2 linked regions of the Ovis aries genome follow. The protein of the gene in region 1 purifies or fractionates together with the protein of each later gene. This does not show direct contact. Links are inferred from orthologs where the notes say so. Each region holds a gene or a part of one and is shown on either strand. Other genes may lie near its edges.

Evidence for each region.
Region 2: the proteins of LNPEP (region 1) and CANX purify together in Homo sapiens (affinity purification with mass spectrometry; 3 studies listed by BioGRID and IntAct, with this or other methods). This does not show direct contact. The link is inferred for Ovis aries from reciprocal best matches to the Homo sapiens genes LNPEP and CANX.

The regions. Positions count from the first base shown.
Region 1 is NC_056058.1:94,053,834-94,057,646, reverse strand, and holds part of LNPEP (leucyl-cystinyl aminopeptidase), read right to left. Parts: intron 2,541-3,813; coding exon 2,427-2,540; intron 839-2,426; coding exon 704-838; intron 1-703. UniProt on the Homo sapiens protein: Release of an N-terminal amino acid, cleaves before cysteine, leucine as well as other amino acids. Degrades peptide hormones such as oxytocin, vasopressin and angiotensin III, and plays a role in maintaining homeostasis during pregnancy.
Region 2 is NC_056058.1:1,408,350-1,412,814, forward strand, and holds the start of CANX (calnexin), read right to left. Parts: upstream 3,037-4,465; 5' UTR 2,855-3,036; intron 1-2,854. UniProt on the Homo sapiens protein: Calcium-binding protein that interacts with newly synthesized monoglucosylated glycoproteins in the endoplasmic reticulum. It may act in assisting protein assembly and/or in the retention within the ER of unassembled protein subunits.

The sequences.
Region 1 (3,813 bases):
CATTCTTTCTTACTGCTTCACAAGTACTCCCTACCTAAACTCCGCATTTCTTGATGACATGAACTGTAACCCATATGCTTTGTATATCTTTGTCTTTGTTCAGGATGGGAATTCAATTTATTGATCTTAATCTGGTAGCCAGACTAAGGAGGCAAGTAAGCTATAACATTCAGCCCTCCTTCCCTACACAAATGTGATATCCCCCTCCCCTCTTCTCTGACTTAGGTGATCCTAATCAGGACTTTCAATTTCTGTTTTTGCTTTACTTCCAAACCTGCAGTCTAGGTTTCTAATTCTACAATAGAGTCTTTGATTCGTAAAAATCTCCTTTTGTCTACCTGTTTTGGCAATTCTGACTTTGGAACACACTTCAGTCCTGAATGACACAGCCAAAGGCTTAGAGCCTCCCCTGGACATATTCCACCTGTAGATCTGGACAGTTATCCAACTTTAAAAGATCTATTACTGTAAGATCTGGTTAACTAGCCAGAATACTAGTTAGAGAACTTAAGAGACAGAGAAAGAAAGAAGAACCTAGATCAAGTTAAGATCAAGATTTAAGTAGAAGCAAACATCTTAAAAATTAACAGGAAAATTGAAAATAATACTTGTCTAGTCTTTAAAACAATCTAAATCAGTCAGCTTGCTTTCATATGAAATTAATTTGTAACCCACTCCAGGTACTTTTTGTGCATGGCAATACCTTAAAGTAGGAAAGAGAATCAAACATTTCCTCAATCTGTTCTGAAGACTGAACAGATGATGATGATATTGGATGGGATGAATTCAACGCATCTTTTCTCATTGTTTTAAATCGAGCATCTAAGAAATCTTCATACTACAAAAAATGAAACAGAATAAAGAAACTGTGAACAGTATTAAAGACAGAGGCAAGTTTAGTAATTATTGATAGGAATTAGACTAATTACTGTTTAAGGTCATTATAAAAAAAATCAACTAGCTTCACTAAACTTTAGAAATAATCTGTTGAAGATATAGGAAGAATGTGACATTTATGCATATTTGTTAAATTTGAAAATAAAATTACAACTTCCACAAAAATCAGTGTTCCCTAAACAACAACACAAGGATACATTAAGAGTTTATTACTAAAGCGACCATATGCTAAATCCAGTTGTTCAAATGATTATTTAGAAATGGCTAGTGAATATTTGTAAAATAAAATCTTAAATTAAAAAAAAAAAGGAACTGCTCCTTAAGTTGATTTCTCATACATAATCCAGCTTTTCTATTGAGATAATATACATTTCCCTTGACTGAGGCTATTCTTAAGTAAAATATAAGTCTTAAACAGAAAGGAGTCTGAGAGTTCAACAGACCAGTTCCTCTAGAATATATACTAAAAGCTTTTAAACATTCTGGGCACCACCAAGTGGTGAAACTGTATATCTCTTTGTTTAATTAAGACCCATACCCAGATTTACATTACTTTGCTTATTAATATTCAAGCTTAAACTGACTTCATTTTACCATTTGAAATCTTTGAATAGGCCCTACACAAAAATTTCAAACTGAAAGCTCTGAGAGTACTCATCTTTTGAAGCACTTTTGGATCATACAGTCAAGAAGCTTAATAGAAAGTCACAGAATTCTATAGTAGAAACGGATTCTTATACTTTTCCATTTACTGCTTGAATTATTCCACAATATCTGTCATGTATGACCTATGCTGCGTGCTTAGTCGCTCAGTCGTGTCTGACTCATTGCAACCCCATGGATTGTAGCCCGCCAGGCTCCTCTGTCCATGGGGATTCTCCAGGCAAGAATTCTGGAGTGGGTTGCCATGCCCTCCCCCCATATAGGACTTAGTATGTCCAAATCTCTCTAAGGAGAAGAAACATCTCCGGAGAGTCTAAGAACACAGTAACAACATCATCATGCTCTCTGTAACAGAATGGGGTTCCACGGCTTTGAAACGGGCACAAAATATGGTTTGGACCTAAAAAGAGCAAATTATTTGTCTCGCTGTGTATCACTGTTGTAAGAATGATCACAGTGATAATAGCATTGCCACAAAATGTCTTCATTTCTTCTCTATAAGGAGTATAAAAAGTTTTGTTTTGCAAATAAAAAAAAATGCTTTCCAACTCTATCTAAATTCCTTAAAGCAGAAGGGCCACATCTATTAAACACAGAATTTAGCAAAGCAATTTGAAATGTTCATCTTAATGACAAAGTATAAAATAATTTCACATTATTTCTGCTTTCTGAAATCCATCAGTAACTAAAAGCACAATTTTCACTGTCAAATCTCAAGAGGTATAGAGATCAGTAACAAGTCAGTTTTATTGTATTTTTCTAGAAATATTTTCATTGCTCCAAATGCATGGAAAATACATGTCCAGTATGATTGGACTATTTTTCTTCCTGGCATTCACAGGAGGCCTAACAAACAGCGTACTTACACTGGAGAGCTCTCCGAATATTTTTTCCAAAGAGAAATACTCCATGAATGTAGCAAAGCCTTCATTCAGCCACAGATCATTCCACCACTGCATTGTCACCAGGTTACCAAACCACTGCGGGAAAGAGCAAACAGCTAACCAACTTCACATTCTCAAGACTTTTCTAATAATCGAATTGTCAGATTAATCGCCTATGACCAGATTACCACTACTTAAAAGTATACTTATTGCAGTTAAAGCAAACTATATTCAACTTTAAGTCTTACAAATACATTGCATTTGTGATATAAATTTACTTTAAAAGTAAAACTGTATACATGGAGTAAATTCACTTTTAAAGTAAAATTATAAATTTAACATTTTACCTTACATAAAACAAACAAAGACAACTGGCTTATTTATCAGTTTAACAGACATGCTGTATAGTAGGTAGACAAAAACTGTTTTTAGTCACCTCATTAAAACATTTCCTAGATAAATTCCTCTACTTTCTAGTATCAAGTTAGTAATATTATTTTCCATCATGTCTACAATCATCATGACAACCCAAAAACGAACGTCTGTATGAGGGATGTTCCTATAGTCAGAGAGCCTGCACTGCATGCTTCTCCTCAGTTACCACATTGAGTATTTACATGATTCAAAACAGAATTCAAACAACATTCCCTAAGAAATTTGGCATGCATACAAATAAATAAAATCAGAAAGACTTTTAAATGGCTTTTTTCCATGAAGTAATAAGAAGGAAAAAGAAGATGAGACACCCCTAAAAAAATTCATCTCAAAAATCCCTGAAATGAAGCGTGGCCAATAAAAAGCGTGCAGTTCAGTCACTGTGGCCAAGGGCTCGGCTCAAACCATCAGCAAAATGACAAGATTACTAGGTACTGAAACAAAGCTCTATGGAGAATCACAAAAGCATATTTTCAAAGATTAATATCTTAAAAACCTCTTTCAGAAGAAGATGACTTCTAAGTCGTAAAGAAGTACAAAGGAAACACTCCTGCTGTGGTGATGGCCGGCCCCAGGAATAACAGACCTGGAGCAGATCCCCTAAAAAACAGTTTGAATACGTGCGTAACTGTAAGAGCAAATACGCACACGCTTCATAAGCCAGCCTGTCGAGAAGTCCTCACAAGGCCCGGTGCGCTGGGGCTGTGGCTGAGGTAGGCGGCCAACCGGCCAGAGCACGCCCCACTCTCGCCCACCTCCTCCCACCGTCGCGACACCCCGGTCGGTCCACCCCACCCTGATGAGCACTGCATTGAGGGCACGAGAGGGACCAGGTACCGGGGAAGAAAGAGTGAGGGTCACGCACCCATATAATTTTCCTTCCTTTTCTCTACATCATCCAGAGTACCCTCCCACTCCCAAATTAAGAACCCAG
Region 2 (4,465 bases), about 93 Mb from region 1:
CACTGTGTACGTCTTGGGATAGCTATATAAACAAAATGCTTGCAATGTGTTCATATTAGTACCAGGCTTACAGTAATGTGCAACATTATCAGTGATTTCTACTATTACTAGATATTGCCCAGCGACACCATTTAAGCTTTGATGGTCCTAAAACGCTGAGTTTTAACAGCGATAAGAAACTTGGAAAAAAAAAAAAAAGAAACGAAGTCTTAGACTGAAAAGGAACCACTTCAAAAGAATTTGACTCCAGTCACAGATAACCATTTTACTACTACTTTTCATTCCTCTGGATTACATCTAGCCACAACATCAAAGCACTTAATAGTGGGAGGGAAGTACAGAAAACTCAAAGGGGTCCTTACTGTAAATGCTCATCCACTAAAAAAATAGATGTACACTGCCTAGTTCAGTTCTGAATTTTGCTTTTCATTGACAGGAACATTAAAATGTATCTTCCCATAGCACTTTCCTTTTTTGTATAAACTAAGTGGATTTAAAACGTGGATTCCCAAAACATTACTGAAGATTCTAAGTTACTTAAAAAAATTAAATTCTCCAAATAATTTTCACAGTTAAGCTTAATTTAAAAATCATCTGTTATAGTTAACAAAGCACTCAGCCTGCACTTTTCTGACAAAGTTCTACTGTTATAGTTAACAAAGCACTCTGACAAAGTTCTACAGTGAGCTGTACAGGTTGTAACTATGTGCAGGCACTGTTATTATTTCCTAGGAGTTGTTATGAGCTGCCAATTCTTCTACTTGCATAGTTCATTACTCCATTCAAAGCAGTTTCCTGTTCACCATCTTATCTGTCTCTCCTAAAAGATCCCTAATGGTAAGGTATCCTGGGCACTGCGTTTTAAAGATATGGAAACTAATGTTGTTCATTATGCTAGTTACCTCGCTGGGCCTGGAATTCAGGCTCCAGCCTGCATTTCTGCTTACCAACTCTCACTTCATCCCCTTAAGCTATCTCTCAGGGCAAAGTGAACTCTGTAACTGAAAGGATGCAAGAGCATGATTGCCAAAACTGCAGCAACAACCTCTGTCAAAACGTTTACCCCTCAAGGTCCTTGGAAGATAATGTGCTAGTTGAAACTGTTGAGTTAAGATAGTCAGGTAGGGAGATACTGACACTCATTATCAGACAGGTCAGGAAATGCGCTTGCTGCGCCGCACATTTACTCCAGTACACCGTTCATTCTGGCCATCTCATAATCCAGTTCCCTGACTTGTTTGCTTGGGGTGCTGCACAGAACTCCCACACAATTCTCTACCTCTGCTCTTACTACAGCAAATGGACAACTCCGCAGTGATTCTATTCATGGCACTTAAACATGGCTGTTAAAAGACTGACATACAGAATGATCTTAAAGATCAATACAGTTCCTCCCTTTTAAAAAAAACCCGAAACAAAACAAATCCTCCCGCCCACTAATTCTTATTTAAAAAACTAAGCAAAGTGTTCCATTTCCTAACTCAGAGGTAAAGAAACCTAACTGTGGCTCACCTTTGTCCCCCCAAGCTTTTAATATTCAGCTCAGTTTAACTTCCTCCAGCCAGCATTCACTTGTGTCATACCCAGCAGTTAATCCACTAAGTCCAGTTTCTTCCTCCTGTATCCATTAAGGTGACTTCAGGTCCCAGAACTTAACCAACTCAAAAAGGAGGATGTTGATGTAGGGGACCAACATCACTCAGGCCTTAATTTATTTAAATCATCTATCAAGTAGTCAAAGTCTCTCCTGTCCTTTTTTATACACAGTTTAGTGGCTCAGAGGATAAAGCGTCTGCCTGCAATGCAGGAGACTCAGGTTCAATCCCTGGGTTGGGAAGATCCCCTGGAGAAGGAAATGGCAACTCACTCCAGTATTCTTGCCTGGAGAATCCCATGAACAGAGGAGCCTGAGCAGGCTACAGTCCCCGGGGTCGCAAAGAGTCGGACACGACTGAGTGACTTCACTTCACTTTAGTTCTAACCCCACCACCATCAGATTTTATATCCATTATTTGGAGAGAAGTAGGGTACAGAGAAGTAAACTGCCTAAGTTCATATAGCAACAAACGACAGATTAACGACCTGAACCAGGGCCTTAGCCTTAACCATCAAAACTGCCTCAACTAAAACTCCAACGTGATCATAAAATTAAGCCCATGACCTTGAGCCAATCATTTCAGAGCTCTGGGCCTCAAGTTTCCTCCACTATAAAATGACTTGCCCAGAGAGCTTTCGGGTGCTTTCCTGCCAGTCTTTGTGAATTTACAAACGAGATTACTTTCTCCTCATCCATGAAGAGATATAATTAAATGTCAGGGCCTAAGTTTTCCAGCCCCTGCGTGTTCTAGCACATTCTCCATACTCCACTCTTCACTCTGTGATTTTAACTTTCAAATACTGAACCTCTAATGCTAAATATTCTCTCTCGGCCCACTATCAACTCTTCCCCACTACAAGGGACATCGACTAGGCCCGATCCTATTCCAGACCTTTACCCAGTTACTCCGGGCACTTCCCAGCTTCACAGGTAGCCAGCAATAGGCTTAAGAAAGCCCTAGAAGCAAAGCCAGAAGGAGAAGTTAGCTTTCTCAGAGGTCAAAGGAGGTTCTAAGGCACCTGCCACGCCTCCCGACCCCGGTGGCGCGGCCTGGGCCTGGCTCCCTGACTCAAGCGGCCCAGGTCCCGGCCTCACACCACACGGCCGGAGCGCCAGACTGGGCCTGAGCTTTCGAAACCCAGCCGGACCCCACGGCCCCGGCCACGCCCGGCTCTCCAGGCCCCCGGTGGCGGCGCCGCGCATCCAGGCCCCCAAGAGTCCTCGCAGGCCCGAACACAAGCAGGCCTCCCGTCTCACCTCGAGCCTCAGCGGGACGGCCGGTGGCGCCCTCGCCTGCTCCCACCCGCACAACCGGCCCCGCGCCGCAGAGAACACAGCCGCCGAGGCAGCGCAGCAGCTGAAGCCGCACGACCGTCACGTGCCGCAGCACCAAGAGGCCTTGACTCCCGCTGCCGCCGCGCGAGCTAGCCCCAGAGCACGAAGCCCGGCCCTGCGCCCGCCCCTCGCTCCTGAGTAGCTACAGCTAGCGCCAAGGCCAGCGCCCCCGCGCCAGCTTCTGAATTCAATTGGTCAGTGCGACCATCGCTCTGAGGACTTTCCCTTACGCCCCCTAGGGCTATTCTTCGTGGAGCGTGGGGATTGGCTGGGAGTGAGGCAGGAAGTGGCCGTTGGTTGGGCGGTACGGAAGGGGGCGGGCTGGGGCGGAAAGGAATACTCCCGGGCGCGCGCGCCCTGTGGCGGGACCAGCCCTTCAGGAGTTCCCGCGCGCGGTTGCGCTGGTTCCTTAGTGGGCGCGCTTCCAAGAGTTGCATCTCGCTCTGTGTCTGTGGTTCGCACACCTTCTGTGCCTAGACCCGGGCCTCGGAGTCTGGCACTCCGTTCCCTTCGTTGGAGGTCAGATGTCAGCTGGCAAGGAGGGATGGGAAGTCTGGTGAACCATCGGGAAGGGCCTTGCCCCCGATGCAGCGAGTGCCCAGCGCCAACGGCTCCCTCGCTCCGGCCTAAAGTCGACTGCACTGCGCTGTGTAAGCAGGCGCCGCGGTTCCTGCAGTGTCATTGCTCTAGGCCCAGCAGCCTGAGGCCACCTTGTTACCCAAGCTCAAATACAGTCCGCAGTACTACGCTGCAGGTTTATTTCAGTTTTCAATTTGTGATGTTTTCCTCAGTAAAATTATACAGAAAGGGCACAGAGACACACTGACAATATTGAGAGAAAAAGATGGTGCGATGGAAAGATTTCAAACACACCGCAAGTTTTGTAATTCACTTTGAGCATATTTTCAGTTTTGAATATGCTGAGAACCTCAGAAAATTGAAATGGTCTGTGGGTTTTTTTAGACCTTTATGTGTCCTGGTTTCTGTCGTCCATTTGTTTGGATACCCAAAGGCTGAATGGTAGGGTGAAAAAAAACTGTATTTGGTAAATGTAGCAACTACCATTGGCTTCCCAGGTCATGACAGCAGTAAAGAACCAGCCTGCCAGTGCAGGAGACTAAGAGGCCTGGTTTCATCCCTGGGTCCAGTAGATCGGCTGGAGGAAGGCATGGCAACTCACTTCAGTATCCTTGCCTGCAGAATCCCATGGACAGAGTAGCCTGGCAGGCTACACTCCATTGCACAGAGTTGGACAGATCTGAAGCAACTTAGCAAGCGTGCGTGCGCGCAGACACACACACACACACACACACACACACACACACACACACACACACCCCCAGTTTTTTCAGTTCACTTGCTCAATCCTGTCCGACTCTGCGACGCCATGGACTGCAGCACACCAGGCTTCCCTGTCCATCACCAACTCCCTGAGCTTGCTCAAAATCATGTCCATTGAGTCAGTGATGCCATCCAACCATCTCATCCTCTGTCATCCCCTTCTCCCGCCTTCAATCTTTTCCAATATCAGAG